4 linked regions of the Macaca fascicularis genome follow. The protein of the gene in region 3 purifies or fractionates together with the protein of the main gene of each other region. This does not show direct contact. Links are inferred from orthologs where the notes say so. Each region holds a gene or a part of one and is shown on either strand. Other genes may lie near its edges. The genes, in order: UPF1, RBM8A, UPF3A and RNPS1.

Region 1 (7,998 bases), on a different chromosome or scaffold from region 3:
TACAGGCGTGAGACACTGTGCCCGGACAGTCTTTAAATAGATGTATTCCAATGTACCATCCCAATGTCGCTTTGCGATTGTGAGTGCATATAGGAAATAAGAGGAGATTCTTAGAAATGGAGTAGGTGGGTCAAAGTGGGAGAGGGGCAATTAAAACTCTGAAAGGTGGGCTGGGTGTGGTGGCTGAGGCCTGTAATCCCAGGACTTTGGGAGGCTGAGGAGGGAGGATCGCTTGAGCCCAGAAGATTGAGACCAGCCTGAGCAACATAGTGAGGCCCTGTCTCTACAAACAAACAATTTAAAAGACAGCTGTGTGTGGTGGTGCATGCCTGTAGTCCCTGCTACTCATGAGGCTGAGGTGGGAGGATCCCTTGAGCCCAGAAGGTTGAGACTGCAGTGAGCCAGGTGACACCACTGCACCCCAGTCTGGGTGACAGAGCATGACCTTGTCTAAAAATAAATAAATAAATAAAAACTCTGATAGGTGTTACTAAATTGATCTGAAATTTGTCTACAAATTCATCAGGATGTGTTCCAAAGAGAGCTTTGTATGATATGAAAATTATCTGTTGGTCTGTCAGTATTACCCCTTAAACTGTGCCTTCCTAGACAGGCAGACTACTTTTATTCATTGTCTATATTCCTACAGTTTAGTGCATGCTAGGAGCCCCCCTCCAAATGTTATCTTTATTTTTTATTTTTTGTAGAGATGGGGTTTTACTGTTTCCTAGGCTGGTCTGGCACTCCTAACCTCAAGTAATCGTCCCACCTCAATCTTCCAAAGAGCTGTGATTATGGATATGAGCCACTATGCCTTGCCCCTGAAAAAGAGTGAAGAAGGCTCACACCTGTAATCCCAGCACTTTGGGAGGCAGAGGCAGGTGGATCACCTGAGGTCAGGAGTTTGAGACCAGCCTGGCCAACATGGCAAAACCCCATCTCTACTAAAAATACAAAAAAAATTAGCCGGGCGTGCTGGCAGGCACCTGTAATCCCAGCTACTTGGGAGGCTGAGGCAGGAGAATTGAACCCTCCTGCTTGAACCCAGGAGGCGGAGGTTGCAGTGAGCCAAGATTGCGCCACTGTATTCCAGCCTGGGTGACTGAGTGAAACTCCATCTCAGGAAAAAAAAAAAAAAATGTGAAGAAGGAAAACAGAACCTCTGTTCCTGTCATGATAAACAGGCAAATTGGAAAATAAGGAACCATGGCAAATCAGGACCTTTTAGCTCAGCTGTGCAAGCTAGGCGCTCTTTCAGCTGACTTATTTAAAGAGCAGCAGAATCTTGGGACAGAAAGGGAAATGGGGGATGTTTTCCAAGATACTTTACCAGAGAGGAAGCGGACGCCTGGGGTTAGGAAATTAAGGCCCATAAACCAGTAGCTTACCTGGGATTTAAAGTGTCAGAAGACTTTTCATTGAGTACCTACTATATGAGGCATCATTCTCTCCGTGCGGAAGATCATAATGAAACAGGCCAACCCCCTGTCCTTATGGAACTACATGTTAAGAGTGACTGGTAGTTCATTTATTCCTCTCATATATATACATATATATATAGAGAGAGAGAGAGTGTATATATATATACACACACACACACACTCCCTATCTATATATAATAGAGTGACTAGTAGCTCATTTATTCTTATATATATAGTGTGTATATGTATGTATATATACATACTGTCTATCTCTCTCTATATATATAATAAAGTGACTAGTAGCTCATTTATTCCTCTCATATATACAGTGAGATATATAATATACACCATATATATATCTTTTTTTTTTTTGAGACGGAGTCTCGCTCTGTCGCCCAGGCTAGAGTGCAGTGGTGCAACATTGGCTCACTGCGGCCTCTGCTTCCTGGGTTCAAGCAATCATCCTGCCTCAGCCTCCCGAGTAGCTGGATTACAGGCACGCACCATGCCCGGCTAATTGTTGTATTTTTAGTAGAGACTGATTTCACCATGTTGGTCAGGCTGGTCTCGAACTCCTGATCTCAAGTGATCCGCCCGCCTCGGCCTCTGAAAGTGCTGAGATTACAGTCGTGAGACACCACGCCGGGCTCCATTATATACATACATATATATATGTGTGTGTGTATATATATATATATCAGCAGCAACCATATATCACATGAGAGGAATAACCGAGCTACTAATCACTTTATTAATATATATTAACATATATAAATATATATTAACATACACACACACATACGATCTCTGTCACCCAGGCTGGAGTGCAGTGGTACAATCATAGCTCACCGCAGCCTCAAACTCCTGGGCTCAAGTGATCCTCTTGCCTCTACCTCCTAAAGTGCTGGGATTTCAGGAAAGAGCCACCTTGCCCAGGCTTCCTATCCTACCTTAATGGCAACAGAAACCCTAGGCTCAGAGAGTTTAAGTCACCTGTATAATTTATTTTTTATTTATTTATTTATTTTTTTGAGATGTGGTCTCGCTCTGTTGCCCAGTCTGGAGTGTAGTGGTGCGATCTCGGCTCACTGAAAGCTCCATCTCCCGAGTTCATGCCATTCTCCTGCCTCAGCCTCCCCAGTAGCTGGGAATACAGGCACCCGCCACCAGCCCAGCTAATTTTTTGTATTTTTAGTAGAGACCGGGTTTCACCGTGTTAGCCAGGATGCTCTCAGTCTCCTGACTTGGTGATCCGCCCGCCTCGGCCTCCCAAAGTGCTGGGATTACAGGCTTGAGAAACCGCGCCTGGCCTACCTCACTTGTATAATTTCACACAGCTGATAAGTGGTTAGCTCTAGATTCCACCACACACCATGTGCTTCCTGTTGTTTTGCTGTATATGTCCACTAAATAATAATCATAGCAAAAATAGTAATTGTATAATGACAGCGGCAGAGGCATCAGGAACAGCAGCAACCATCATTTCCAAGTGTCAGGCCCAGTACCTAAGACTATCCCCATTCATTTATTTTTACTTATTTTTGAGACAGGGTCTCGCTCTGTCACCCAGCCTGGAGTGCAGTGGTGAGAACCACCACACTTAGCTAATTTTTTTTAGCTATTTTTTTTATTTTATTTTTTGAGACGGAGATTCACTCTGTCGCCCAGGCTGGAGTGCAGTGGCACAATCTTGGCTCACTGCAAGCTCCGCCTCCTAGGTTCAAGCGATTCTCCTGCCTCAACCTCCCAAGTAGCTGGGACTACAGGCTCGTGCCACCACGCCTGGCTAATTTTTTGTATTTTTAGTCGAGACGGGGATTCACCGTGTTAGCCAGGATGGTCTCGAGTTCCTGACCTCGCGATCCGCCCGCCTCGGCCTCCCAAAGTGCTGGGATTACAGGCGTGAGCCACCGCGCCCGGCCTAAGTTTTGTATTTTTTGTAGAGATGGAGTCTCACTCTGTTTCCCAGGCTGGTCTCGAACTCCTGAGTTCAAGCCGTTCTCCCGCCTCAGCCTCCGAGTGTTTGGGATTACAGGTGTGACCACCGCGCCGAGCCCCACCCCCTTATTAAACCAATGCACAGGGAGCATCTACTATGTGCGAGGCACCCCCCATTTTACAGATGGGGAAACTGAGTTCCAAGCAGCTTTTGCCAGGAGTGGGAGCGCGTCGTCCCTGCCCAGCCTCTCCAGTTGGGCATTTCGAGATCACCTACGTAGGCTATTCGGCTAGCGCTTAATTAAACCGAAACACTGTCGCAGCGACCACAGGTGCAGACCACCACGTCCACACCACCCGCCGCCCGGGAGTCCCCGATTAGCAGTTGGGGCGGGACCAAGTCCTCGAGGGGCCGCCGCGACGGCGGTTGAAAGCCTCACCCCCTGCGCGTGCGCGTTGAGCGTCCCGTCGTCCCGCTGGGCACCCGGCGTCCGCGAAGAGCGCGCGCGCTTCCGCCGGCGCCGGGCTCGCGCACGCGCACGGCGACGGCGGCGGTGGCGGCAGTTCCTGCCCGGGGCTGCGAGCGGCGGGCGGCTTCGAGGGGAACTGAGGCGCGGAGGGGCTCGGCGGCAGCGGCGGCGGCTCGGCGCTCTTACATCTCGGTTCGGCTGGCGCCGGGGAGGGCGGTTCGGTCCTTTCCAGGCGTACGGGGACGACAGCGGCAGCGAGCCGAGGCCTGCGGCCTAGGCCTCAGCGCGGCGGCGGGCTCGAGTGCGGCGCGGAGCCGGCCCGAGGGCCCTACCCGGCAGCACCATGAGCGTGGAGGCGTACGGGCCCAGCTCTCAGACTCTCACTTTCCTGGACACGGAGGAGGCCGAGCTGCTCGGCGCCGATACACAGGGCTCCGAGTTCGAGTTCACCGACTTTACTCTTCCTAGCCAGACGCAGACGCCCCCCGGCGGCCCCGGCGGCCCGGGCGGTGGCGGCGCGGGAGGCCCAGGCGGCGCGGGCGCGGGCGCCGCGGCGGGACAGCTCGACGCGCAGGTGAGCGGCACATGGCGGCGCCGGAAGCCCGGGCCTTGTCTCGGCGCCTGAGACCTGTCCCTAGCCCGTCTCGGGCCGGGCCTGGGTTTGCCCGGAGTCCCCCGTCGCGGCCGGGCCTGGGGCGACCTGCCCCGGGTCCCCTACTCCGGCTGGGCCTGAGCTTACCTGCCCCAGGTCCTGCACTCTGCCCGGGCCTGGCCTGATCTGCCCCGGGTCTCCCGCTCCGGCCTGGACCTGGCTGAGTTCCTTCGGCCCCCAACTCCTGGGCTGGGCCGACTTGCCTCGAGTTCTCCACTCCGTTCGGGTCCGAGCTAACCTGACCCTCTTCCTTTACTCCGGCTGGGTTTGCTCCTCCGCCTGGGCCCGGGCTGACCTGCCTTGTGTCCCACAACCAGCCTGGCCTGGAGTAACCTGCCCTGGTCTGAGTTCTTCCACTCTCTCCGGGCTAGGGTGACCTGCCCTGGTCCCTCTTTCTCAGGTCTCGGTTTTCTGCCCCGAGTTCCCCTACGGCCTGGGCCGGGTCTTGCTCAGGCCGGATCTTGAGTGACTTCCCTCAGTCCCCTTCCGGGAGTATCCAGGGTGACCTGCCCTAATCCTGTCTCTGGCCTGGTCCGGGGATTCTGCCCCGTCTCCCCAATGGGGGGTCCGGCCGCACTGTCCCACCTCCCATCTGTGGTCACAGCCATCTGGGCATCCCCCCTTCCACAGTCACGGAGCTGTAGGTTCGAATTTTCCCAAGCATAAGGGCGCTGGTCAGCGGAAGATTGAGGCAGGGAAGAATTTTTGCCTCCCATAGAGGAGCACACATTGGCTGGCTATTAAGATCATTCAGGAAGCAGTTTGTATTTTATTTTTTCTTGCATCGCCTGTTGCTGAAACCGACCTGTTACATAACTCCACAACTCTTGCCTTGGAAAAGTTGGGTTTGAGTTTTGTTCCTCCAATAAGACAGCAGTAATGGGTTTACATAAATGCGTCTGCCACGTTGGAAACTCATTTTTAATGATGTGGATGTTTAGAGAAGGTTACTTAGGTATTTAAATGGGGGCTTGGGTTGGGAGAAGTATCAGGCATGCATTTCCTGGTCCTGGGTGCTGCCTGCCTGGGGTGGGAGAGGGGCTGGGGGGGCGCGGGTTGCACCGGGCTCCAGGGGCATGTCCTCATCATCCTCTGGATCTCAGGTTGCTTTCACTTTAGGCTTGCTTTGTGCCTGACCCCTCGCTCAGGTTTATTTTCCTGACAGGGAGTAACTCCGAGGCTCACCTTGGCACAGGTGTCCCTTGGCATGTGCTGGTGTTTCAAAGCTGGGAGAACCACTCCTTGCTCATCCTGAGTGAGCTCAGACCCTGTCCTTGCATGAGGGGGGCTTACGTGGTAGTCGGCTGAGTCATTCCCGTGGGTAGACCACCCACTTGGGCTTCCTTTTAGCCCCTAATGGAAGCAAGAAACATTTGACTCATTCTAACCCCATATTCCTTAAAATAGAAAGTTGGGTGTGAGGAGAACAGGTGTGCACGTATGGGTGGTTTTTTCAGTTTTGTTTACATTTTGTGAAGGTGGGGAGGGAGAGAGGAGAGGTCCCTTGAAGAAGGGAGCAGGACCTGCGGAGGCCCCGCCTCCTTGTAGTTTTTATGCCCTGTAGACCTTTCTGCTTCCGCAGCTGTGAAATGGGGGTGGCAGTTGGATTTTTGTTCCTTTTAAACATAAAGGAAACCTAGATCCATGTGTGAGTCGACTGTATAGGCTGTTTGTAATCTGAAGTCCAGCCTGTCGGGGAGACTCAGGGTAAAGATCTCTGTGGAGCAGTGAGCCATGAGCGTGACAGCGCGGATAGAGGGGTTGGCTGGTGTCAAAGGTAATCATTTTCTTGTGAATCCTTTTAACTGTGGCCAGCATAAAACAGCAAACCTGGGGCAGCCTTTAGTTCTACTTTTGTTTCTGGCATTCCGTTTGGGATTAAGTGTGGCGCATGTCCTTCTCTTTCAGTTGAAACAATTGATTTTTTTCCGTGCACCTGAACACACTGGGCTGTACAAAAGGAGAGCATTAAAACGCTCCCCTGGAGGTAAACATTGCAGTTGAGCTCACTAGAGTTCTGATGACATCAGATGGTTTGTCCTGTGCTACTTTTAATTGACCCAGATGCCCCACCCACCTGTTACCTGTAATTTGGATTTGTTAGTGGGGAATGGGAGTGGCATCCCTTTGCATCACAAGGGGAAGACCGGAGTTTGGGGGCAAGGAAGTCTGTGTATATAATTCAAGGGAAAGCGGAAGAAAGTTATCACTTGTGTGGATTGATTTGGGAAGACTTTCCCTGTTTGTCCTCAGGAGTTGGCTGTGTAACCAGCTGTTAAGTTGGGGGCTCCTGGAAGGACTCAGAAAGCTTCTCATTCTGTTTTTTAATTTTTATTTTACTGGGCAAGTGGCAATCAGCTGTCAAGTGCCCTGCAGTCACTTTTGCTTAACAGCTTTATTGAAATAGAATTCACTTGCCGCACCATACAGTTTACCCATTTAAAGTGTACAGTTTGGCCGCTTTTATTTAGTATATTCAGAGTTGTGCAGCCATTACCACAGTAAATTTCAGAACATTTATGTCACCCCAGAAATAAACCCTGCACCCCTTAGCCCATCTGTCCTCCCTTCCCCAGCCCCTGGCAACCACTCACCTGCTTTCTGTCTTAAGATGTGCCTGTTCTGGGCATTTCACATGAATGGAATCATATCATATGTGGTGTTTTGTGTCTGGTTTCTTTCACTTTGCATGATGTGTGAGAAGTAGCTACAAAGCTCACCTTGTAGCTACTCCCTGACCGAGCATTCAGGAAAATGAACCTGATCGAGGTTCATCCACGCTGTGGCATGTGTCAGCATTTCATTCCTTTTTTTTTTTTTTTGAGGCAGAATCTCGCTCTGTTGCCCAGGCTGGAGTGCAGTGGCGCTATCTTGGCTCACTGCAACCTCTGCCTCCCGGGTTCAAGCGATTCTCCTGCTTCAGCCTCACTAGTAGCTGGGATTACAGGTGTGTGCCACCACGCCTGGCTAATTTTTGTATTTTTAGTAGAGACGGGGTTTCACCATGTTGGCCAGATGGTCTCGATCTCTTGACCTTGTGATCCGCCTGCCTTGGCCTCCCAAAGTGCTGAGATTACAAGCGTAAGCCACCACACCCGGCCAGCATTTCATTCCTTTTTAAGGCTTAGTAATATTCCATTGGTGGAATGGTCCAGATGGATGAACCATGTTTTGTTTATCTTGTCTTCTGTTGATGGACATTTGGGTTGTTTCCACCTCTTGGCTCTTGTGAATAGCATTGCTGTGGCCATGCATGTACAGGTTTCTGCGTGGATGTGTTTATAGACGTGCTGGGCCGCATAGTAACTCTGGGTTTAATGGTTTCAGCAACTGCGAGACTGTTTTCCAGTGTGTAGCCGCTTTCCATACCAACCGCACCTGAACTGATTTCGCACAGTTGGTTTTTCCTTAATGTCTGTTGAAAGACAAGAGTGTGTGTCCCCACCGGGGTGGGAAAGTGGCAGCAGGGGTGACTCCCTATACTCAGGGCTGGCTCAGGTAACACTCCTTTTCTTGT
Region 2 (7,292 bases), on a different chromosome or scaffold from region 3:
AGGGTTTCACCGTATTAGCCAGGATGGTCTCGATCTCCTGACCTCGTGATCAGCCCGCCTCAGCCTCCCAAAGTGCTGGGATTACAGGCATGAGCCACCGCGCCCAGCCAGCTTTGACTATTTTTATACTCCTCACGATTCTCACGTACTTCTTAGGCATAGCACAAAAACAAAAACAAATTATAAATATATGAATGCAAGAGATGGGAAGAGGAAAGAACATTTTCCAACTAGCTCAGAGTAGCCTGATTGTAACTCCAAACAGTTCTCAAAATTCTGTCTTATGCTGAAACTATTCATCTTTCCTAAATGTCCCTCATGTCTGCTAAAATCACTGTCCCAAATGCCTTGTATCTAGGAATCTGATACCTACTGAGCTTACTTTTTATCAAATTAATAGTGACAATCTGCATTACTGGAACCCAGGCACTTTAACCTTGTAGTTCTAAACGGAAATAGTTTTTACTGATTCAGTTGGAAAACCCAGCAATTTAACAAAAAGGGGGAGGGGCAGCCCAACAGCATTTGGAAAATGTTAAATTTTATTATTTAACATTCTTTACCATTATAGTTACTGCACATAAGACTATAACTACTAAAGGTCACTTCAGAGTCACTGCAAAATGGCCTGGAATTTTGGCAGCACCTATTTTACACAGTTTTTCTTTTTCCACAAAATAACAGACATACCAGGAAAATCATTTCAGCTAAAAATATGAGTGAGGTGGTAGAAATATCATCCCTTATAAAGCGCAGTGTTAGAATAGTACTTGAGAAGGTGGGATTGTTTTAAGTTCCAAGATTTAACAAACTCACTGCTCAGCATCATATTCAAGCCTAAAAGGAAGGCAGGATTTTCAAGACATATTTCCAACCTCTTTAACATGGCACCATGGATGAACTGTTTTCAGCACTGTGCTGCTTCACTTGGAATTAAGGATGAATTGGGAGGAGACAGTATGACATAGGTGGGTAGGCTGGGTGGTGAGGGGAACCAGTTCTAATAGTCCTGAACTCCACTCCAGCTGTTCCTGTTCCATACCGTCCACCGAGCTGGCCCAGTCCCTTTCACTCAGTGTGTCACCAAAGGCAGCTTCAAGGCTCGATGGCAAGAGACCACCTATAACCTCTTCACCTTCCGCTGCCTCTTTCTGCTGCCACTGACTGCCATGGCCATCTGCTATAGCCACATTGTCCTCAGTGTGTCCAGCCCTCAGACAAGGAAGGGGAGCCATGGTGAGACTCCAATTCCCAGGCCTTAATCCTTAACCCTAGACCTGTTGCCTCTAGCATCATTTATCCACCTACCTAATAGCTATCTACCAGTCACTCAACTGTGGTGAGATCCTAACCATATGTCTAGCACCTGATGCTAATTTTGTTGAATCCTTTCAATTATAAACAGCTGAGTTAGCTGGACAAGGACTAGGGAGGCAATCAGTATTATTTATTCTTGAACACCATCAAGTCTTAAAGTAGACTGGGTGGCTTCACATTTCTATGATAATCCCTGGGGGTAAGAGATCATATAGTCCTAGGATGGGAAGGGGAAAAGGGTTTGCAGCATTCTCCTCCTTGTAGGAGGCAAGCTCTGTGTCACTAGCTATGCCCCTCCATCAGTTCACCCTACACTCAGTTCAGAAGCTTAGACTCTGAATTACAGTATATTTTCTAAATTCCTAGCCCCTGCTGGTGAATTTGCCCTCTGCCGCTCCTTTGACAATTGTCCCCGTGTTCGTCTCCGGGCCCTGAGACCGGCCCTGCTTATCTTGCTGACCTTCATCCTCTGCTGGACACCTTATTACCTACTGGGTCTGTGGTACTGGTTCTCCCCCACCATGCTAACTGAAGTCCCTCCCAGCCTGAGCCACATCCTTTTCCTTTTTGGCCTCCTCAATGCTCCTTTGGATCCTCTCCTCTATGGGGCCTTCACCCTTGGCTGCCAAAGAGGGCACCAAGAACTTAGTATAGACTCTTCTAACGAAGGGTCTGGGAGAATGCTCCAACAGGAGATTCATGCCCTTAGACAGCAGGAAGTACAAAAAACTGTGACATCAAGAAGTGCAGGAGAAACAAAAGACATTTCTATAACATCTATCTGATCCTAACAGAGTATATAGGAACAAAATAATAAGTCTTTAATACCATAAGATCTTAACATCTCACTTCTACTCCTGCTCTCCTAGTTCCCCCAAAAAAGAAATACTGACCAGTGTCTACTTTAAACCCTACCTGAAACTTGAGACTGTATCTAGTATAGAAATTCACATAACCAACCCAGGCAACACAGCAAGACCCCATCTCTACAAAAATATTAAAAATTTAGCCGGGCATGCTGGCATGTGCCTGTAATCCCAACTACTAGGGAGGGTGAGGCAGAAGGATGGCTTGAGCCCAGGAGTTTGAAGCTGCAGTGAGCTATGATCACGCAGCTGCACTCCAGCCTGGGGAACACAGCAAGACTCTATCTCAAAAAAAAAAGAAATAGAGTTCAGTCCCTAGAATTATCTTCACAATGATCCATACAGCCTTACTATGCTTTAGAACTTTCAATTTTATGATAGGAAAGTAATATTAAATGTAGAAAACAAAAATGGAACATTTATTCGCAACTCAAATAGTATGCATATAGGGTAAGAGATTAAATATAAACACAGCAAGTTCCACCCCAGTCCTATTTGTCCAAGGCTGCATGGTCAAATGGAATCTTGAAGAGAACACCTGGACAACAGAGGACCTGTCAGCGACGTCTCCGGTCTGGACTTCTGCTGCGTCTTCGGCCTCCTCTAGGGAAAAAGAAGCAGGGAGAAGAGTCCATCAGAGGGACATAATACTGCCTCCTCATTCTGTTTTGTTCATATTCCCTTCACCCAGTGTTTGCCCTCTTCATTTTACCTCCTCTTGCCTTTTGGTGGACCCCGAACAAAACACCAGTCAACGCTGATGGGCTGTCCCATCAAATCCTGGCCATTGAGTCCCTCCATAGCAGCCTGGGCCTCCTTGTATGTTTCATACTCAACTAGAGTATACCCCTGGGGAAAGTAAAAAGACAGATATGAAAACCCTCCTATTTCCCCAAGCATCACTGAGTACCTTTTTCCTCAAATCTAAACTCAGAAAAATCTATAAAATTTAAGCAATGAATGTACATCATATATCTCTGTATATATACAACATGTCTGTCTCTTTGGCGTGTCTGACAAAACATATCCATGTTTTAAATGTCATTTTATTTAATAAAATGACATCCAATGTCATTTTATTTTAACTTTGCTCTTGGCCAACCACAGCAAACACAGAACTACCAATGCTGTCTAAGGGTTATGAAAGAAAGGAGGCAATAAAGTGTCACTTAGAATACCTTCAGATATCCTGTTCGCCTGTCGAGGTTGAGGTGAATGTTTTTAATTTCCCCATATTCTGCGAATTTGTCGTGTATGTCTTCTTCAGTGGCTTCCTCATGGACTCCAGTGACAAAAAGAATCCAGCCTTCAACAGCTGTTGGGGGACGGGGGGAAGTTGTATGAGTACATGAGAGAAACGCTTCAAGCAGGCTCACGGGAGTAGAGTGAGTGTGGACTCAGATTGTTTAAGCTATCTCTGAACCCACTCCTACTGCTTAACTATTTTATCGCTTTCTAACTACTACCACAGGCACGGATACCTCACAGGTTCCATTATTACTCACAGCGTTGTGGTCCGGGTTCATCGCCATCCTGCTCCACGCTGTCATAATCCTCACGCATCCGCGCTCGGGACCCCTCTTCTATAAGGGACACACACGAGATCACCGAAAACTCTCCCTTTCTCCCATTGTTCCTATGAGTTGGGTGGGGACTCCAAAACCCGGGGCTCCTGCCCTACTAGGCCACTCTACCCCATTCTCCCCACACTCACCGGAGCCAAAGCCGCGACCCTTCCGTTTCTTCGCTTTTTCTTTCAGTTTGTGAATGCTCTCTGGAGCCCCAGAAGATAAAAGAGTAAGTAACCATGACAGTCATTTGTAATGATCGTTTCTTTCCCAAGACACTGTCTGCAAGCCGACCCAAACCGCCTCCAGTCTCAGTGCCTTCCCGGTCACGCCCTCCCTTCTCCCAAAGGGGGCGGAATCTCTAATCCATCCAAGACCCGGTTCCCCGATTCCCATCCTCACGACCCGGGAGAAAAGAGAGTAAATTTTCCTATTATAGCCTTCTCTCACACCTTCCCCGCTACGCCCGGCCGCCTCCACTGTCCTCACCGTCCCCATCCTCATCCATGGCGAAATCTTCGCCCCCGGCCTCGTGAAGATCTAGCACGTCCGCCATCTCGCCTTCGATCGAGATCTCGTCTGTGCCGCTCAGACACTAGGTACCTCGGGAAACTGTCGCAGAGGGGAAAGGTCGCCAGTCAAGCTGACCAATCAAAGGCTAACTCTAAATCCCTCCCTCTGCACGGTAAAAATACGCAAATTGGGGCGGGCCTAGTTCGGAAAGATGCCGGAAGTGTTTCTGTGGCCATCTTGAGCAGGTCGCGAGCTAAATGCTGCCATGTTGGGAGGTGCAGACTACAGGGGTCAGTGGATTCCTCTTAACCGCGGCAGCTGCTGAGAGATACTGTACTATTAACAGTGAGGCCCGGCGTAATTTCCTTATTAGAGGGCTTCTTTATGTCTCTTCATCCCAAACTGGGAAATGGTCACTGAAGACACCTTTTTCTATCAAAAATCCCAGGCCTGTACCCTGTTCCGAGGCAAGGTGATGTATGATAGGAACGTCTTTAAAAAATAGTTTGATCAGCAATACGGGCATAAAGAGCTGCTTCTGGAACGTACTGCAGCACCTAATTTCTCTTCAGGAAACTAACAGACCTGGTTGCAATATGATTGGTGAGACCGATATCAATTTTTGGTTTTTTTAAGATAAAACTCCCTGCCTGTAATCCCAGCTACTCGGGAGGCTGAGGCAGGAGAATCGCTTGAACCCGAGACGGAGGTTGATTATGTGGGCGTGGTGGAGTGCGCCTGTAATCCCAGCTACTCGGGAGGCTGAGGCCAGAGAATCACTTGAACCTGGGAGATGGAGGTTGCAGCGAGCCGAGATCTTGCCACTGCACTCCAGTCTGGGGGACAAGAGCGAGAATCCGTCTCAAAAAAAAAAAAAAAAGTGAAAAAGAGTAAAACGAAAAATTTCAAAGCGATTAGGAGACACTAATTTATTCTCCACGTAGGTAGTGTGATCATTTTAAAAATCAGTTGGTTACATATCTACTAAAAACCCTTTTTGTTGTTTTGAGACGGAGTCTCGCTCTATCACCCAGGCTGAGTGCAGTGGCGGTCTCAGCTCACTGCAACCTCCGCCTCCGGGGTTCGAGCGAATCTCCTGCCTCAGCCTCCTAAGTAGCTGGGACTACAGGCGCCCGCCCCCACACCCGGCTAATTTTTGTATTTTTAGTAGAGATGGGATTTCACCATGTTGGCCAGGCTGCTCTTGAACTCCTGACCTCAGGTGATCCACCAGCCTCTGCCTCCCAGAGTGTTGGGATTACAGGCATGAGCCACGGTGCCCGGCCTAAAAACCCTTTTTGTTAGAGGGGTCTGGCTATACTACCCAGGCTGGCCCGAAACTCCTGGGCACAAGGGATCCTCTGGCCTCCCAAGCAGCTGGGACTACAGGCGTGTAACCCTGCACCTGGTTCTTTCTTTGGCTTTTTGCTGCACTTAAAATAAAATTTTTAACTCACATAGCCTGCTCTGTGTTTTCAACCTGTTCTACCACCATTCTCCGTCACCCATGAAGCTCTCCTTGCACTTTCGCCCAATGGTGGTGTGCTCTTTCTCATCCCAGGGGTTTTGCAACTTGTTTGTTTGTTTTTGTTTTCAAGACGGGAGTCTCTGTCGCTCAGGCTGGAGTGCAGTGATGCGATCTTGGCTCACTGCAACCTCCGTCTCCCGGGTTCAAGTCTTCTCCTGCCTCAGCCTCCTGAGTAGCTGGGACTACAGGCGTGCGGCACCACACCTAGCTAATTTTTGTATTTTTAGTGGATATGGGGTTTCACCATGTTGGCCAGCCTGGTTTCTAACTCCTGACTTCTGATCATCCCCCCTTCTCAGCCTTCCAAAGTGCTTGGATTACAAGCATGAGCCACTGCTCCCCGCAGCTTTCTGTTCCTGGTGCTCTTCTCCTCTAGCTTTTCACATATTGGGTTCGAACTCATTTTTTTTTTTTTCTTTGAGATGGAGTCTCGCTCTGTCACCTAGGCTGGAGTGCAGTGGCGCGATCTCGGCCCACTGCAGCCTCCACTTCCTGGGTTCAAGTGATTCTCCTGCCTCAGCCTCCCAAGTAGCTGGGACTTCAGGCACGTGCCACCACGCCCAGCTTTTTAAAATTTTTTTAGTAGAGACGGGGTTTCACCATATTGGCCAGGCTGATCTTGAACTCTTTACCTTGTGATCCACCCACCTCGGCCTCCCAAAGTGCTGGGATTACAGGCGTGAGTCACCGCGCCCAGCCGAGTTCGACCTCATTCTTAAGGTCTCAATAGTACTGTCACCCAAAGGGATCTTCTGTACCCTCCTATCTTTCACTGTGTATTTCCTTCACAGAACTTAAATCAGAATCTTCTTTTTTTTTTTTTTTTTTTGAGACAGGGTCTCACTCTGTCAACCAGGCTGAGTGCAGCGGTGCAATTATGGCTCACAGCGGCCAATCTCCCAGGCCCAAGTGATTCTCCTGCCTCAGCCTCCTGAGCATCTGGGACTACAGGCACACGCCACTACATGCGGCTAATTTTTAAAAAATCTTTTGTAGAGACAGAGTCTTGCCATGTTACTTAGGCCAGTCAGAATTACCTTGTTTACTTTCTAACTTATTGTCTGTTTTTCCCATTAGAGTGTAATCCTTATGGCAGAGATAGTTATTTACAACTAAAATCCCTAAAGTTCAGCCCAATGTCTGGCTCATGGTAGACATCTGATAGATACTTATTGAATGAATGAATATTAGAATGGCAGGATATTCTGTCTGCCTGATGCTATGTGACTGGAAAATAAAGCTGGAAATACAGTTTAGGGTCTGCTATGCTAAGGATTTTGGAATTGATGCTATAAGCAAGAAATTTACCTACTTCAAATATTTGAGTATTCATGGTTTTTAATATTTGCAGATAGTCCCCATACTAGTTTTTGCTTATTTTTCCTTAGACTGACTTTAAACATAAATGTATACTGAAAGGAAAATCAATATTTTTCTACTACAAATTCAGATAAAAGCACAACTATTAAAAACTGTTTGCCCATCTATCATCTAAAATCA
Region 3 (7,380 bases):
TGAGTCTTCATTCATCCTGGTATGGAAATCCACCTGCAGCTGTGGTTCATTGATGAAACAAACAGCTAGTTTTCCTTTGTCAAGTAGAACCAACAGACAAGAGTACAGCCTGTGTGTGTGGCGCAAGTAGTGGTGACACTGTTGTCTCCCTCTGGGTGGCCCTTCTGAATTGTGTTTAGTATTCTTTTTTTTTTTTGGGATGGAGTCTCGCACTTTTGCCCAGGCTGGAGTGCAGTAGCGTGATCTCGGCTCACTGCAAGCTCCACCTTCCAGCGTCATTCTCCTGCCTCAGCCTCCGGAGTAGCTGCAATTACAGACATCCGCCACCACGCCCGGTTCATTTTTTTTTTTGGTATTTTTAGTAGAGACGGGGTTTCACAGTGTTAGCCGGGATGGTCTCAACCTCCTGACCTCGCGATCTGCCCGCTTTGGCTTCCCAAACTGCTGGTATTACAGGTGTGAGCCACCATGCCTGGCCCTGATTTTTTTTTAAGAGTGGGTGGGTTAATTTGCTTGTCGTAACTAGCGTTTCGTCTTTCTCTCTCACTCTGTTAGGGCAGATGCAGACAGTGTTTGTTTAAGAAAAATTAGCCAAGTGTGGTGGCACACGCCTGTAATCCCAGTACTCTGGAAGCTGAGGCGGGAGAATTGCTTGAACCCAGGAGGCGTGGATTTCGGTGAGCTGAGATCACACCATTGCACTCCAGCCTGGGCGACAGAGTGAGACTCCATCTCCGAGAAAACAAACAAACAAAAAGACTTTCTAAGTCATTCTCTCTCCTTTTGAAAGTCTGTGTAATATTTACCAGTAAAATATTTTAAGGCCTTACCTTTTGGAATTTTTTGCACATTTTTGACAGCTGCTCAGTGTCATCCAAACCAAGAAAAGAGAAGATCTGTATGATTATGCTGTCAGGCATTTGAACTAACAAATCAGAATTTCCCTGACACAGATTCAAAGAACATGTCAATACTTCTTTAACAAAATTTGTATTTAATAAATGGTTAAAATCGCAGTGCCAAAAAGACATTAACATTTAACAATTTCACTGAAAGGAAGAAACTGTAGAATGCACGGTTTCAGAAAGCTATTTTAAGTTATTTACAAATAAAGTATCTAAAACTCAAAGACAGGCTCTATATGCTATACCTAGTTTATCCCTTCCCAAACAAAATTTCTGTTATTTGGGCAAATTCTTAAACCGTGGTTTAAACTGTAATGGTTACAAACCAGAAATGCATCCATCCAAAGACTGTGAAACCATTTTCATCCGGTCAGTGGCAAAACTGTTGAAAGGGCAATAGTTGAAGCTGTTGGGTTTTAAATACTGGGAACTCTGGTATATATTCCTACCAGGACTAAAACACAGCACACTCTGCAGGCATGGCTGACTCACGGAGGCTGTAACAAACAAGAACTACTCTTTACTCGACAGCACAGCTCAGAGGCCACCGAGAGGCACGAGAGACTGACAGCTCCTCTGCCTATAAATGAATGAAGCCCACACTGGATGTCGTTCTCACAGCACTGAAAGTGCTTCAGGACTCACACTGATCCAATACTAACTTTCTTCCCTATTTTACACATATTTTTCTACTGTCCAGTGAAAATCATTTTCTGTTTTGGCTGAAAAACAAATATTAGTTTATAACAGGAATGGTAAAATCCGTGAGAATTCTGCTCAATTTAATACAAGATCACTACTTTCTTTAGAATGGTGTCTGCGTGTTTCTGTGTCACCCTCTGTATTTTTAGCTTCCAGTTTCCTGGTAAGGAGTAAGTTCTCCTTTCCAGTCACACTCGGGGTCCTTTACACGTTTCTGAGATTCCTTCGCTTGTCCATGGAGGCCAGGTGCACCCAGTGACTCACTCTGCCTCTTCCCTCTTCTCGGGACCAGTCCCCGAACCTTCTGCCTTGCAGATCCTCCCACTTCCGCCACGCTCTCGTGCTCGGAAGCGAGCTCCTGGATCATACAGCTGCAAGGCCGGCCGGTCCTGCCAGGATAAGAGGGCATGTTACTCTTCCAAGGGCTGGCAACACAGAAGGGTCAACATCTCCTTGTATTTCTAGAACTTGATAATATGAATTGTCCAAAGAAAATCAACCTGGCAGCTAAAAATCAGCCCTTTTCACAGCACTCTCTCAGAATTCTCAGGCAATTTAAAAAGCCACGTAAATGTCGGTTATCTGGGCAAATGTTACTGCTCACACCAAGAACACCTTGTAATCTGAGCTGGGGAGGTGAAAACTCAAACATGTCCACCTCAGTCCCTAGGCCTGAAACAAAATGAGATGTGGACCCTCAGAGATGGCTTCAGATCTGCGAACTCAAACTGTTATTAACGTGAGTGGTAAGCAATTTCCACGGGGCTTATCCCTGCCTAGCATCTACCAGCAGGGAAACTGAACTGCTCCCTTTTGGGAAAACACTACCCCATCATTTTATTAAATTCCTGGAGGCAAAGCAATAAAAATGAACCAAAAAATCCATGAAGGGTAACTGTTCAGGGCCTGAAGGCAACAGCCAGGGAAGCACAGAGTGGCCCTGAAGGCCAGAGTCAGCAGCGACAGCAGCACAATTCCTCCCTGACGGGGCCACCAGCCCTGCCCCAGCACTGAAGGGGTGGCAGAGGAGGAAGGTGGCTTCCCGCTTCCCGAGGCCTGTAGCCTCCCGCTCCCTGCCTATTCTCCCTGCTGAGCTGCAGCCTTGGCCTCCAACAGTCACCAGGAGCCCAAGTGTGGGCTGCAAGGACGACCATGTGGACACATCTCACACACTTCTCCAGGATTCACCAGCTCATCTTTACCTTCTCCTGGACTGTGTGTGGAAGCCCACATCAGGTTGCCATCAAGGGGTTTAACTGAATTTTCTTTTCCTTGGTATGAACCTGACCAACGGGAGGGGTGCGAACAGGCTCAGCAGGCCCCTGCACCTGAATGCTCCTGTGGGGCGGAGACAGGCTGCCTGGAGCCAGCATGCACAGCTTTTTTTTTTTTTTTCCTGAAACAAAGTTACACTCTGGTTGCCCAGGTTGGAGGGCAACTGCGCAATCTCGGCTCACTGCAACCTCCACCTCCTGGGTTCAACTGATGCTTCTGCCTCAGCCTCCTGAGTAGCTGGGACTACAGGCGCGTGTCACCACGCCCGGTTAATTTTTATATTTTCAGTAGAGATGGGGTTTCGCCATGTTGGCCAGGCTGGCCTCGAACTCCTGACCTCAGGTGATCCACCCGCCTCTGCCTCCCAAAGTGCTGGGATTATAGGCGTGAGCCACCACACCCGGCCGACAATTCGGCTTCTTACCAGGGCAGTACCTGTGTACACAGATGGAGCATGGAACCTGACCTCAGAAGTACATGACAAATGCCAGGCTCCCGGGAAAGCAGCTCCTGCACACATTCCCACCACAGCACTGTGAGGCTACACAGAGGAGCGAATGCTCCCCCACCTCAGGTCAGGGGAGCACCACGCCATTCACCACTGCTAAAATAAGGCAACTGAAAACTGAGGACTCCCTATCGAAGAGACCCATGGCTGTACTTTGTGCCCCCAAGGTCCAGGCAACCCCAGAAAACTGTGGAGTATTCTAGAGGTGTTTATTCAAGGGTGAAGACAAGAAGGCTCTCCTCTGGCTTTCAGCCTTGACTTCACTGAAACATTTTTTTTTTTTTAGACGGAGTTTTGCTTTGGTTGCCTAGGCAGGAATGCAATGGCGTGATCTTGGCTCACTGCAACCTCTGCCTCCCAGTTTCAAGTGATTCTCCTGCCTCAGCCTTCTGAGTAGCTGGGATTACAGGCACGCGCCACCACGCCCAGCTATTTTTTGTATTTTTAGTAGAGATGGGGTTTCACAATGTTGGCCAGACTGGTCTCGAACTCCTGACCTCAGGTGATCCACCCGCCTCGGCCTCCCGAAGTACTGGGATCACAGGCATGAACCACCACACCCGGCTACACTGAAACACTTTAAAAGTGAACATCGGGCCGGGCGCGGTGGCTCAAGCCTGTAATCCCAGCACTTTGGGAGGCCGAGACGGGCGGATCACTAGGTCAGGAGATCGAGACCACCCTGGCTAACACGGTGAAACCCCGTCTCTACTAAAAAATACAAAAAACTAGCCGGGCGAGGTGGCGGGCGCCTGTAGTCCCAGCTACTCAGGAGGCTCAGACAGGAGAATGGCCCGAACCCGGGAGGCGGAGCTTGCAGTGAGCTGAGATCCGGCCACCAGCCTGGGCGACAGAGCGAGACTCCGTCTCAAAAAAAAAAAAAAAAAAAAGTGAACATCGTTCCTACACACAACAACCTGGAAGGATCTGAAAGGAATTAGGCTGAGTGACGAGAGCCACTCTCAAAGCTCACACACTGTGTGTTTGCACTCATCAAGCATTCTTGAAATGACAAAATCACAGAGGCAGAGAACAGACAGTGGCTGCCAGAGGTCAGACATGGGGAGGGAGGTGAGTGGGAATGCGAACCCGAGGCAGCCCTCAGTTTGCTGGGAGCCGGGGTGGGGCCTGGTGCTGTCAGAAGGGTGATGCCGTCTGTAGTGCTGCGCTGGGAAAACGCAACCTGAACAAAAATCAGCTTCAAACTTCTGAAAAAAAAAGCTGTTTGCTTGGCTAAGGGGGTAACCACAGTCCTGTGCTCAGCGTCTGTGCAGAACTAACTTCAGGTGTTTGTCAGCCACGGGAATATTCACTAATAATCAGAATGTTATTGATAATGTGGAAGAAACCTCCATGAAATATTAAAACTTTCCTTCCTGTCTCAAGGGAAAATTTAATCTTATTCTCAAGTGAATCATACAAACGTGCTAGTTTTATACTAAATAAAATCTTTCTTTTTCCTGGTGAAAAATAATTTGACTCTCTGAGAAAACATGACGATTAGTCTCACTCTAGGATCTGACTTTCAGGAATAACGAGCTTCCCAAGACACAAGGCCAAGTGGGGGTGACACGGTCAGCGTGCAACCTGGACCTTAAGACAGCCAGACAGATTTTTCTTTTTGGGTTTAATAAAAACCTTGTTTGCCAGTCGCTCCTTTCTGGGTGCTGGACCGTCGTCACACCTCTGTGCTCTTCCCACTCTCTCCGTGGCCTCCCCCGGAGCCCCGCTGTCCTGGCTCCCCTTCTTCCCTCTGTCTTGGCCAGGTCCTTTCCCCCATCTCTGCTCATCTTCACTCCTTCTGGAAAGCCAGTCAGGCTCGTGGTGAGCTCTGTGCCTCCTGCCGTCATCCACATGGTGTCTTTGTGCTTCACATTCTTTTTCTTGAGATCTCTCCACATCCCTGTACTCTTTATCACTGCCGCTGCGTGACCTGTGGTTCAACCCAAGCATCAGCGACTGCAGTAACCGCCAGTCGGCTGCTCACCCTCCTTTCTAGCCCGCAGGTTCCCAGACAACAGGGGCCCGTGTCAGCACTGCACTGCTGAGGCTGCACTGTGATGGGCACACAGCAGGCACTGACAAAAACCACTACAAAGAAGAATAAATCATAGTAATAATATTTGTCATTTCAGTTGAGTGACAGATAAGCAATATGCCTCACGCTAAGGTACTTTTTATACATATTGTCTAATTCTCACTAACCTTCCAAAGTAAGTATCTTCTTTCGGCCAGGCATGGTGGCTCACGCCTATAATACCAGCACTTTGGGAGGCCAAGGTGGGTGGGATCACCTGAGCTCAAGAGTTGGAGACCAGCCTGGTCAACATGGTGAAACCCCCTCTCTACTGAAAATACAAAAATTAGGTGGGTGTGGTGGCGCGTGCCTGTAATCCCAGCACTTTGGGAGGCCAGGGGCAGGCAGATCATTTGAGGTCAGGAGGTTGAGAGCAGCCTGGCCAACATGAAGAAACCCCGTCTCTACTAAAAATACAAAAATTAGGCCAGGTGCAGTGGCTCACGCCTGTAATCCCAGCACTTTGGGAGGCCGAGGCAGGCGGATCACCTGAAATCAGGAGTTCGAGACCAGCATGACCAACATGGAGAAACCCCATCTCTACTTAAAATACAAATTTAGCCAGGCACGGAGAGGCATGCCTGTAATCCCAGCTACTTAGGAGGCTGAGGCAAAAGTGCATGAACCCAGCAGGCGGAGGTCGTGGTGAGCTGACATCATGCCATTGCACTCCAGCCTGGACAACAAGACGAAAATTCCATTTCAAAAAAACAAAAAACAAAAATTAGCCAGGCGTGGTGGCGCGTGCCTGTAATCCCAGCTACTCAGGAGGCTGAAGCAGGAGAACTGCTCAAACGTGGGAGGCAGAGGTTGCAGTAAGCCGAGATCGTGCCACTGCACTCAGGCCTGGGCGACAGAGCGAGACTTTGTTTATCAAAAATAAAATAAACCTTCTTTTCTACAAAGTGACTGAGACTAAAGTGGTCCAGTGGCTGTCCTGGGAGCCCAGGTGCACATCCATCATGATGTGCAGAGTAAAATTAATTGACATTTAATAATGGCAGATCCATTATCTTTATGCATTTATCAGAATATTAAATGAATAGTAAATAAATGGCTGCTTCGCTCATTTGGCAGGGCTAGTGGGGACCATGAGGATCTGTAACCAAGCGTGAATTCACACCAGACACGTGGCAGTGTCAAGAACAGTCACAGTAACGACACCCATAACATAACCCAGTGCTTCACAATCACGGATTTGATAATCAGACATAAATTTTATAAACAAAGCAATAAACCAAAACCCCCAAGAAGCAGAAAGAATACTTCATCAACTCTGAAAGAAAGGCAGTGAGAAATCACCCCTACGACTGTGACTCTGGGAAGCTGGCGGCCTAATCCCCTTAGTCTTCCCAAGTAAAACCCACGTCCACCATCCCCTGCGAGCCAGGTGGCCCTGGGCACCAGGAGACCGTGGGTGGTGAGATGTGGTGAGTGGGCAGGAGTCCCAGAGGGGAAGGCAAGCCCAGGGACCCAGGGTCCTGAGGATGGTGGGTGCCAGGAGCAAGAGGGACAAGATCCCCCGACTGGCATCTGGCTGGTCTCTCTGGCCCACCAGGCAGATGCTGCTGTGTCTGTCCCTTTTGCAGATGAGCTCCCTCCACAGAGCTGCTCCCTCCACAGAACTGCTCCCTCCACAGAGCTGCTCCCTCCACAGAGCTGCTCCCTCCACAGAACTGCTCCCTCCACAGAGCTGCTCCCTCCACAGAGCTGCACTGTTGTAAGCAGCAAAGGAAAAGAAAAAGGGAGGACCCGCAGTGCACAGCCAAAGCTGCTGGTCAAGACTCACAGCCGGAGGAGCCAGGGACAGCTTCAACCAAAGGATCACAGCACTTACAATTCTGTTTCTCTACCACAAAAGATCTGCCAGCCCTAAAAGATGGGGTTCCCAAATATGCAATTCTGTAGATAAA
Region 4 (7,988 bases), on a different chromosome or scaffold from region 3:
AAATTAGGGTCTGTACTAACAATCAGAGGATGTGTTTTCATTGTAAATAATCAAGAAAACTGAGCCATCTGTGGGGAGTAGGGGTGTGGCTGTGGCACAGGTCCCCTCCAGACTCCAGGCCAGCCCGCCCCACCTGGTACTGCTGCTACCACTGGAAGCACTGCGCCTCTTTCGGGTTTTGTCCCTGCCGCGATCCTTCTCACTTGACTCCTTGGTGGCCCCTTTATCTTTTGAGCGATCCTTGGACTTCTCATCTGAGCGGTCCTTGCGTTTGGTGGGTGAAGGAGCCCTGGATGGTGAGGAAGAGTGTGAGACTGTGTGCTCCTCTGACCAAACCCAAACAGCACAACCCAAAAGAGGGGATCAGCAGGGCCACAGAAACCCCAGGTGATCAGAGTAAAGTGGCCTGTGGCTCAGAACACTGACTGTAGAATGCAGAACATTCTCCACTTCCCCCTTTCTGCGGGTCCCTAGCAGTAAGCACCCCCAAGTAGCACTAGAAAAATCTTACAGAAGGATTACCTAGTGCTGGACTTTTTATTATTTTCTTTGACTCCTAGCAAGCTCTTCTTTTTCACTCCTGATAAATCCATTCTCCCCTTCTGAGGTGTTCAAAGCAGCAATGGCGGCCTCACTTATCTGAACTCTCACTTCTAACTTGATTTTGAGAAACGATCCCTAATCGATTGCAATTTACGCCAAAGAGCAGCCTAATAACAAGATAAAAGGGTTTAAAGAGTGAACGAATTGGCAAGGCAACAAGTCTACTTTGCAGTCAAAAGCTGAGCACACAAAAAGACAGCAAGGGAGCACAGTAAGCAATGAGTGTCCGCACAGTCAGGAACACACAGGGACAATCCCCATGTGCTCATGGAGGCATCTCTACCCTGCACAGAAGGCACAGGCACAACTGTCGCCCCCACTTATATTTTTCTTAAAAAAAATGGAGGAGATGGTGGGGCCCATCACTGTTATTTTACAGGCTGAACAATTCAGTTTTCACCCACAAGTTTGATGAGCCCCTGCAGTCCTTTCAAAATGCCACAGCACCACATTCACATGCAGAACAGAGAAAAACCTAACTCAAGGGTGGTCTCCAGATAGGATTAGATCTCCTCTTTTATTGTGGCAATTTGCCTTTAGGATACACGGATGTGACTGGAAGCAAAAATCATTTCAAAAGTGACTGGTACCAGCATTAAAACACTTAATACCCAAAAGCAAACAGATGAAACGTACCATATGAACATTTAAAAAGCAGAAGAATCATTTTAAAAAGCAGTAATTGCACTGTACTTTAATAATATGCATATTGAGTGTAGGGGAAAATACATGCAAGTCTGCAATTTACTTTGAAAGAAAAACTAAGATTGAGAAAAACTAAGATTGAAAGAAAAACTAAGATTGATAAAAACCATCTAGCAAATACAGCAGAAATATAACTTACAGACTCTTAACCTCTGAGTTTTGTTTTGTTTTTTTTTGAGATGGAGACTTGCTCTGTCACCCAGGCTGGAGTGCAGTGGCACGATCTTGGCTCACTGCAACCTCCACCTCCTGGGTTCAAGCGTTTCTTCTGCGTCAGCCTCCTGAGTAGCTGGGACTACAGGTGCTTGCCATCAAGCCTGGCTAATTTTTGTATTTTTAGTAGAGACAGGGTTTCACCATATTGACCAGGCTGGTCTCCAACTCCTGACCTTGTCATCTGCCAACCTTGGCCTCCCAAAGTGCTGGGATTACAGGCGTGAGCCACCAGACCTGGCCCTTAAGTAGTCTTTATGTGGGTATTAATTGTATAATTTGACGTTCCTGTGCTTTAAAAATTTTTCAAAAATAAGATGAAAAAAAAGTAGGCACTGAAATTGCATGAGAGACTGCCTGCCATGTAAGAGTTTAGCAAAATGCCTGGACTGCAGAATGTGTTCAAATAGCGGTTACTCATTACTCAAAAGCAAACTAATTAGTTATGGGCCCTATTTTCCAGGGACGCCTTCAGTATTTCCAGTAAAGTTCTGCACAAGCTGCAGGAGTTGTTAAGTGCAGCTCTCAGGATGTGAGTCTCAGCTACTTCTGTCTCACCTTCTCCAAGAGCCAGTTGGTAAGGAGGACACAGCACACCAATGGGGTCCTGGTTTCCCTGTGCAGTACCTGCCAGGGGTGCTTCAAAATGCTGCTGAAAACGTGTTCTGACCCAAGAAAGAAAAGCACCTGGCTTTAAACAGTCAAATGAGCCAAGGAGGGCCGAACACCACCTCTGCTGCTCTTGTCCGGGGGTATCATGTTTTGCTTTAGAATAGTAAGGTTCTGCAGACACCCAGCAGATAGTGCCTCGACACTGTTGGTGTCCTCGGACAGTCAGTGAGTATCATTCAGAGTATAATTCAGAGTCTGCAACCAGAGGGCCTGGGTTTGATTTGAGGTTTTACGGTGTAATTTTCGACAAGTCACTTAACCTTTCTCAAGTTTCTTATCAATATGGTGACAATTACAATTCCAACTTTATAGTTACCCAGGGCATTAATGAAAAGCTCAATAATGTTAGGAGCAAGATTTGTAAAGGCTCCTCCCTCCCCCAGACATTTGTCTCCAAAGTCACACGTAATTTCTGAACTCTCAGCAGGGTTCCTGCACTCATCTGCCTTAGGATCACCTGCAGCAGAAATGTCCAATAGAAACAGTGTGAGGAGCCACAAGCATCACCTGAAATTCCTTAGTAGCCACATCACAAAAATGGGTGAAATTTTTAACACTTGACACATCCAAAATATTATCTTTCCAACATATAATCAACATAAAAATCTACTAATAAAAGTTTACTTTTTTTTCATAGTCTTCTAAAACTGGTATGTGTTTTAACATTTCAGTTTTGATGAGCTGTATTTCACATGCTTAGTAGCCACATGTGGCCAATGGCTACTTCACTGGACAGCACAGACCTAGAGTGGAGGTCACACCCGCAGATTTCAGCCCCACCCCCCCAGACTTAAAGATCTGCCCAAATGTACTTTGTGGAATCAAACACCACCAGTTATTCTCAAGCAGTCCAAACACTAAGAACCACTGAGTAAGCGGACGGCTCGCTGGGTGCGGTCGAGTGCTAGAAAGCAAAAGTTGAGGTTCTCTGTTCACCCAAGTTCAGGTACCGGCTCAGGACCTCGGTTACCTCCCCCATCCTCCGGAAAGGTGCGCGTCCAACAGCCAGAGAGAGGAGAGAACAATTAGTTAAATCTCGAGGAGAGGGCGTTTCGGCATAAATCTTCAGAGCACCTTCCCCATTTAAGAGTACATTTCAGGCACAGTTCATGAGAAATCAAGACAAAAAGCCTACTCCACGTTTCTCCTCCATCAACCTTAACCTTCCCGTATCCACCCCTCTGGGATAACCCATCAAACTGAGCTCGGACACCGTGTTCGGTCCATAGTGGGCCGTATCCCCACGGCCTAGCGCCGACAATTGCACACGGGAGTCCGGGAAACGTTCGCGGAGTACACGTTTGAATTAATGACTCCGAAGGATGGATCGGCCGACCTTCCACCGCATCCCACAAAGAAACTCCGCGCCCGCCGGCACCGGCCCGACACGCCGACCTCGCCGCTCCCCGTCCGCGTTCACTCACAACTTCCCCGTCCAGGCGCCGGGCCGCAAGCGCTTCCAGGGCAGCGCCTGGCGTTGGGGGCTTGGGTCTCCGGCCCGGCGGGAGGGCCCCAAGAACGGAGGCCGCGCTCACCGCTGCTCCGAGTCCCGCGGGCCTGGCTGGGCCACCGCCGAGCGGACGAAGCAGAGGCGCCCTTCCGTCCGCGGCGGCCCCGATCACTTCCGGGCCACGGCCTCGACACCTCCCACTCCGCCCGCCCCGGGCCACACTCTTTCTTCTCGGAGCCCGCACCGCGCTGCCAGGCCACCGCCGCACTGCGGGGCTGAGAAGTGGACCGGCTTCACGATGCGTCCTGCCGGGCCTGACGGGCAGCCCCCGAAACACGGATGCGGTCGGATTCCGCCCCAACTTACATCTTCCCGCCGCCACCACCTCCTCCTGCTTTCCTCAGCCTCCGAGGCCGGCGCCGCTCTGACGTCAGAGTCAAGGAGCGGGAAGACGCCGCCGTCCGGCGCGTAGCGATGACGTAAACGCCTGGCCCAATGGGCGCCGGCGGGGAAGTGTTAGACAGTCAAGGCAGTTTGTGGTAGCCGCGTTGGGGACGTTCAGGGTGTCTCCTCGCCGGTAAAGTCCCTGGGACTGACCGGACTGGCTGCACGCTTGCTGGAGCGAGCACATGGGTAGCCTGCTGAGCCTGGGAGGGCCGCGCGATAACCGATGCTCGTCGTCCGGAGCGGAGGGTGTTATCGCGGCCGTGCCCCGCCCCTTTCCTTGCGCGGGCTCCCTGGACCCGCCCGGGCCGATTCTGGCCCCTGTCGCCGGCGGTGGAGGCGGGGCTCCAGGCCCGGCTGTGCTGAGGGCGGCAGGGTGGTCGCACAGGAGGGGTGCGCAGCCTTTGCGGCCTTGCGTGGCGGGGCGTGGGGGCCTGCAGGGCGGAAGTAGCTCGGAGAGACGGGCTGGGGCAGGACTTGCGTTCCTGCGGTCAAAACCCACTGGTGGCGTTTGGGGTGCTCTCGTGGACGCGGCCTCCGCGCAGGCGGACCTCCAGGGTGGGCGCTGCAGGCGGGCTGTGCGGGCAGGAAGAGCAACGAGCTTGAGGATGGGAGATGGGGTGCAACGGGGGGCGTCTCCGGGCAGGTGACACTGCCGCTGAGACTAGAGTGGAAGGGCGCGCCCGGCGGGGGAACAGCAGACGCCGAGGTTCGCTGGAAGCAGGGAAGGGAGGCCGGGGCACAGGCTCGCAGGCCCGCGCCAAATTCTCAGTGGAGGCAGCACGGAGCGTGTGAACGGCGCAGCGCCGAGGCTTCATCTAACGGCCGGTGCAGGGTCCGAGCAGGGAACACTGTCGACCAGGGTCCGACTCTGGGAGAGTCCAGAGGTGGCGCCTCTGGCAGGCACAGAGGAGGGGGTGACGCTGTAGGGGCCCAGGCAGGAGGCTCCGCGTCAACGCCCCACACTGACGCGGCGGAATTTTTTTTTTTTGACAGAGTCTCGCACTGTTGCCCAGGCTGAAGTGCAGCGGTGCGATCTCGGCTCACTGCAACCTCCGCCTCCCGGGTTCAAGCGGTTCTCCTGCCTCCGCCTCCCGAGTAGCTGGGATTACAGGCACACACTACTACACTCGGCTAATTTTTTGTATTTTTATTAGAGACTGGGTTTCACTATGTTGGCCAGACTGGTCGCGAACTTCTGACCTCGTGATCCGCTCCTAGGCTTTCAGGCTCGCTCCAAAAGTGCTCGCTCCTAGGTTCGCCTTGGCCTCCCAAAGTGCTGGGATTACTTTACAGGCGTGAACCACCGCCCCCGGCCGGGTTTTGTTCACTGCTGTGCCTGTTAGGTAGTCGTTGCCCTTTGATTATTTGTGGAGGGATTGACTGTGTGCTCAGCTTCCGACTTTGAACAGCTTCCTGGCAGCAAGGAAGGGAGAAGGAAGCAGATCCAAGCGGATCTTTGGGAGGAGACAACCAGCATGACTTGGAGACTTCAGATGTCAGAGCAAAGGACAGGGTGCAGCTCGGTGACCCAGAGTGGGTGGGCGGGTGAATGGTTGTATGGTGGGGATGTGGTCTGCCGTCACTGCCCTCTTCTCTGTGTGGGAAGCCAGCTCTTGGTGACTTCCTGCCCGGGCCCGCTCCCTCTGGCCCTGTCCGAGGGTGTCAGGTGTGCCCTTGACTCTTCACCCTGGGCTAAGGGATGTGCGAGGAGTTGGGGACAAAGGCAGCTGGGAGGAGGAGCTACCTCCCGAGTCCACCGCACTAAGTCACCAGTGTGTTCCTGTGGGTGGAGGCTGGCAGGCCCATCAGTCTGGTTTGGGTACCCCCGTTGGATTTGGGTTTGATGACATGTAAGTTAGATTCTCTGCATTACTGTCACACCTGCTGTGCCCAGGCATGGAAGGTTAAGTGGAACAGAGGGACCGCCCCCCTGCTGAAGGGGCCCCAGAGTCGGTGCTAGGGGAGGGGGCAGTCTCAGTGGTCCAGGCAGGCACAGGCGGAGTTCTCTCAGGTGCATTGGAGTCCAGTGGTCAGAGAGGTGCTGAAGGACCCCAAACCCAGAGCCCATGCCCAGGGCCCCACTGACACCTGGTGGGGAGGGGCAGCCTGGTGACCCCACGTGACATGGGTGGGGGTGACGCAGCACCAGCTGGGCTGACAGCCCTCCCCCTGCTGATTTTTAATGCTCTGCAGTAATTTCATTTGGCCTGCGAATAAGCTTTCACACATTTTATATTAAATCGACGAGTATGATTTATTCAGGCACTTATGAATTTAATCAAAATTGTTTCTAAATATTACTGATTTTTGTCATCAAATGTGCCATCAGCTGTTGAGCTTTGAGAATTGAGCATCCTGGCTTTTGCCGTTTTGAGGATCAGCAGAAGCATGTCTGAAAGAAACGTGAGAAAATAAAAGTCAGGAGCCTACCCCCACCCTGTCCTTCCAGGAGCTCAGCCCCAGAGCCAGGCTGCTAAGGCCATGGAGGCTGAGGGTAGTGGAGCTGGGGCTTCTGGAGCCTCAGGGGCCCTGGTTTGCTGCAGGGGGCAGGCAGGGCTTTGCGGACACGGCATTATGCAGTGGCCAGAGCACTGCAGTGCTGGGCACAGGCTTCTCGTGGGCTCTGGCCATGGCCCTGAGCTCCTCCCCTTGCCTTCCCAGAGCTGAGGGTCACCTGCTGACTGTTTGGGGCGACTCTGTCTTTGAGGGCATGCCCTCATGAAGGCAGAATGTCCTCCCTGCCTCCATCCTCTGTTGCTTGGTGGCTTCTGCAGTGCCTGCGCTTAGAGGCTCGTGGCCTGGGACACAGGGTTGGTGATGGGCTTGGTGGTGCTGCAGGTCACAGTGGGTCATGAAGGAGCTTTGGGGAGGGTGTTGTATTCTCTGGTAAAGCACAGCAAGGGAGCCCTTTTACCCACTAAAACCTGGCTCTGCACTGAGGCCGTGTGCAGCCCAGTCAGGTGGACGAGGGAGTAATGACTCGACCTCGGGGGAGGCATCAGAGGAGGAGCCGTGCCTGCTGAGAGGCAGGTCACCATAGCCTGGCACCTGTCTGGAGAGGGTCGGGCTGGGGGAGGTGCTGGCCAGGTCCATTGGGGTGGCCAGGCTGGGTCTGAAAGGGCCTTGTGCTGGTGTGGGGTGAGCTTGGTCTGTTGGGAGAGTATACGGTTCATTGAGGCCTCCCTGGCTCCGGGTTTGCATGTCTGAGGAGTGGGTATCATCAGGGCCTGGGGCCCCTCCAGTGGGCACGTCTGGACTCTCCCAGGATCGGGAGCCTGTGCTCATCACAAGCTCAAAGCACTCCATTTCTGCTACAATGAAGTCAAGGATAGTGACCGTGAGCCGCCTGGGACCTGAGCTGCCTGGGACTGTGACTGAGGCACCTGGGGTGCCTCTCAGGACCTGGGGGCTGAGCCCATGGCTAGATGAGCCTTGGTGATGCTGTGGTATTGCCTGGGCCAGGCGGACCCAGGGGCAGCTGCAGCTGGTCCATGTGGAGCTCCTTCAAGCCGAAGCATCTGACACCAGTGTCTGTGGGGTGTGGGCCCGGCCCCAGGAGCGGGGCCTGGGCAGCCCCGTGTGTTGAGGAAGGAAGGCAGGGCCCCCGCTCCCCGGGCCTGACCCCACTGCTTCAGCCCCCTCCTGCCTGCCTGCAGCCTGGCCTCGAGGGCCCATCAGGTGAGGAGGGGATCCCGCCTGCCCCACCCCATCCTACCTCCTGGAGGAGGCCTTGCCCCTTACAGGCAGCCTCCAGCTCTCCCACCCTGAGCCCCCTGTGTGGGGTGACCAGAGCATGCCCAGCATGTTCAGGTTCGGGGGGCATCTGGAAGGAGGGACATCTCAGTTCCCTGAGGGGTGGGCAGCCTAAGTGACTCCCGTGCTGGGCCATTTCCTGCAT

What was found.
Region 1: the proteins of UPF3A (region 3) and UPF1 purify together in Homo sapiens (affinity purification with western blotting; 5 studies listed by BioGRID and IntAct, with this or other methods). This does not show direct contact. The link is inferred for Macaca fascicularis from reciprocal best matches to the Homo sapiens genes UPF3A and UPF1.
Region 2: the proteins of UPF3A (region 3) and RBM8A purify together in Homo sapiens (co-immunoprecipitation; 4 studies listed by BioGRID and IntAct, with this or other methods). This does not show direct contact. The link is inferred for Macaca fascicularis from reciprocal best matches to the Homo sapiens genes UPF3A and RBM8A.
Region 4: the proteins of UPF3A (region 3) and RNPS1 purify together in Homo sapiens (co-immunoprecipitation; 4 studies listed by BioGRID and IntAct, with this or other methods). This does not show direct contact. The link is inferred for Macaca fascicularis from reciprocal best matches to the Homo sapiens genes UPF3A and RNPS1.

Annotation. Positions count from the first base shown.
Region 1 is NC_088393.1:19,231,139-19,239,136, forward strand, and holds the start of UPF1 (regulator of nonsense transcripts 1), read left to right. Parts: upstream 1-3,921; 5' UTR 3,922-4,172; coding exon 4,173-4,403; intron 4,404-7,998. UniProt on the Homo sapiens protein: RNA-dependent helicase required for nonsense-mediated decay (NMD) of aberrant mRNAs containing premature stop codons and modulates the expression level of normal mRNAs.
Region 2 is NC_088375.1:113,488,104-113,495,395, reverse strand, and holds RBM8A (RNA-binding protein 8A), read right to left. Parts: upstream 4,335-7,292; 5' UTR 4,308-4,334; coding exon 4,241-4,307; intron 3,958-4,240; coding exon 3,898-3,957; intron 3,767-3,897; coding exon 3,689-3,766; intron 3,499-3,688; coding exon 3,362-3,498; exon of another isoform or gene 3,033-3,361; coding exon 2,896-3,032; exon of another isoform or gene 2,787-2,895; coding exon 2,741-2,786; 3' UTR 2,580-2,740; downstream 1-2,579. Other genes in the region: GNRHR2 (gonadotropin-releasing hormone II receptor), read left to right, coding at 1,026-1,262.
Region 3 is NC_088391.1:104,540,705-104,548,084, reverse strand, and holds the end of UPF3A (regulator of nonsense transcripts 3A), read right to left. Parts: intron 5,482-7,380; coding exon of another isoform or gene 5,421-5,481; exon of another isoform or gene 5,324-5,420; coding exon 5,029-5,323; intron 1,997-5,028; coding exon 1,868-1,996; coding exon of another isoform or gene 1,753-1,867; 3' UTR 978-1,752; downstream 1-977. UniProt on the Homo sapiens protein: Involved in nonsense-mediated decay (NMD) of mRNAs containing premature stop codons by associating with the nuclear exon junction complex (EJC) and serving as link between the EJC core and NMD machinery.
Region 4 is NC_088394.1:3,039,433-3,047,420, forward strand, and holds the start of RNPS1 (RNA-binding protein with serine-rich domain 1), read right to left. Parts: upstream 4,070-7,988; 5' UTR 4,012-4,069; coding exon of another isoform or gene 4,010-4,011; 5' UTR 2,818-4,009; exon of another isoform or gene 2,080-2,817; intron 711-2,079; 5' UTR 594-710; coding exon 523-593; intron 290-522; coding exon 134-289; intron 1-133. UniProt on the Homo sapiens protein: Part of pre- and post-splicing multiprotein mRNP complexes. Auxiliary component of the splicing-dependent multiprotein exon junction complex (EJC) deposited at splice junction on mRNAs.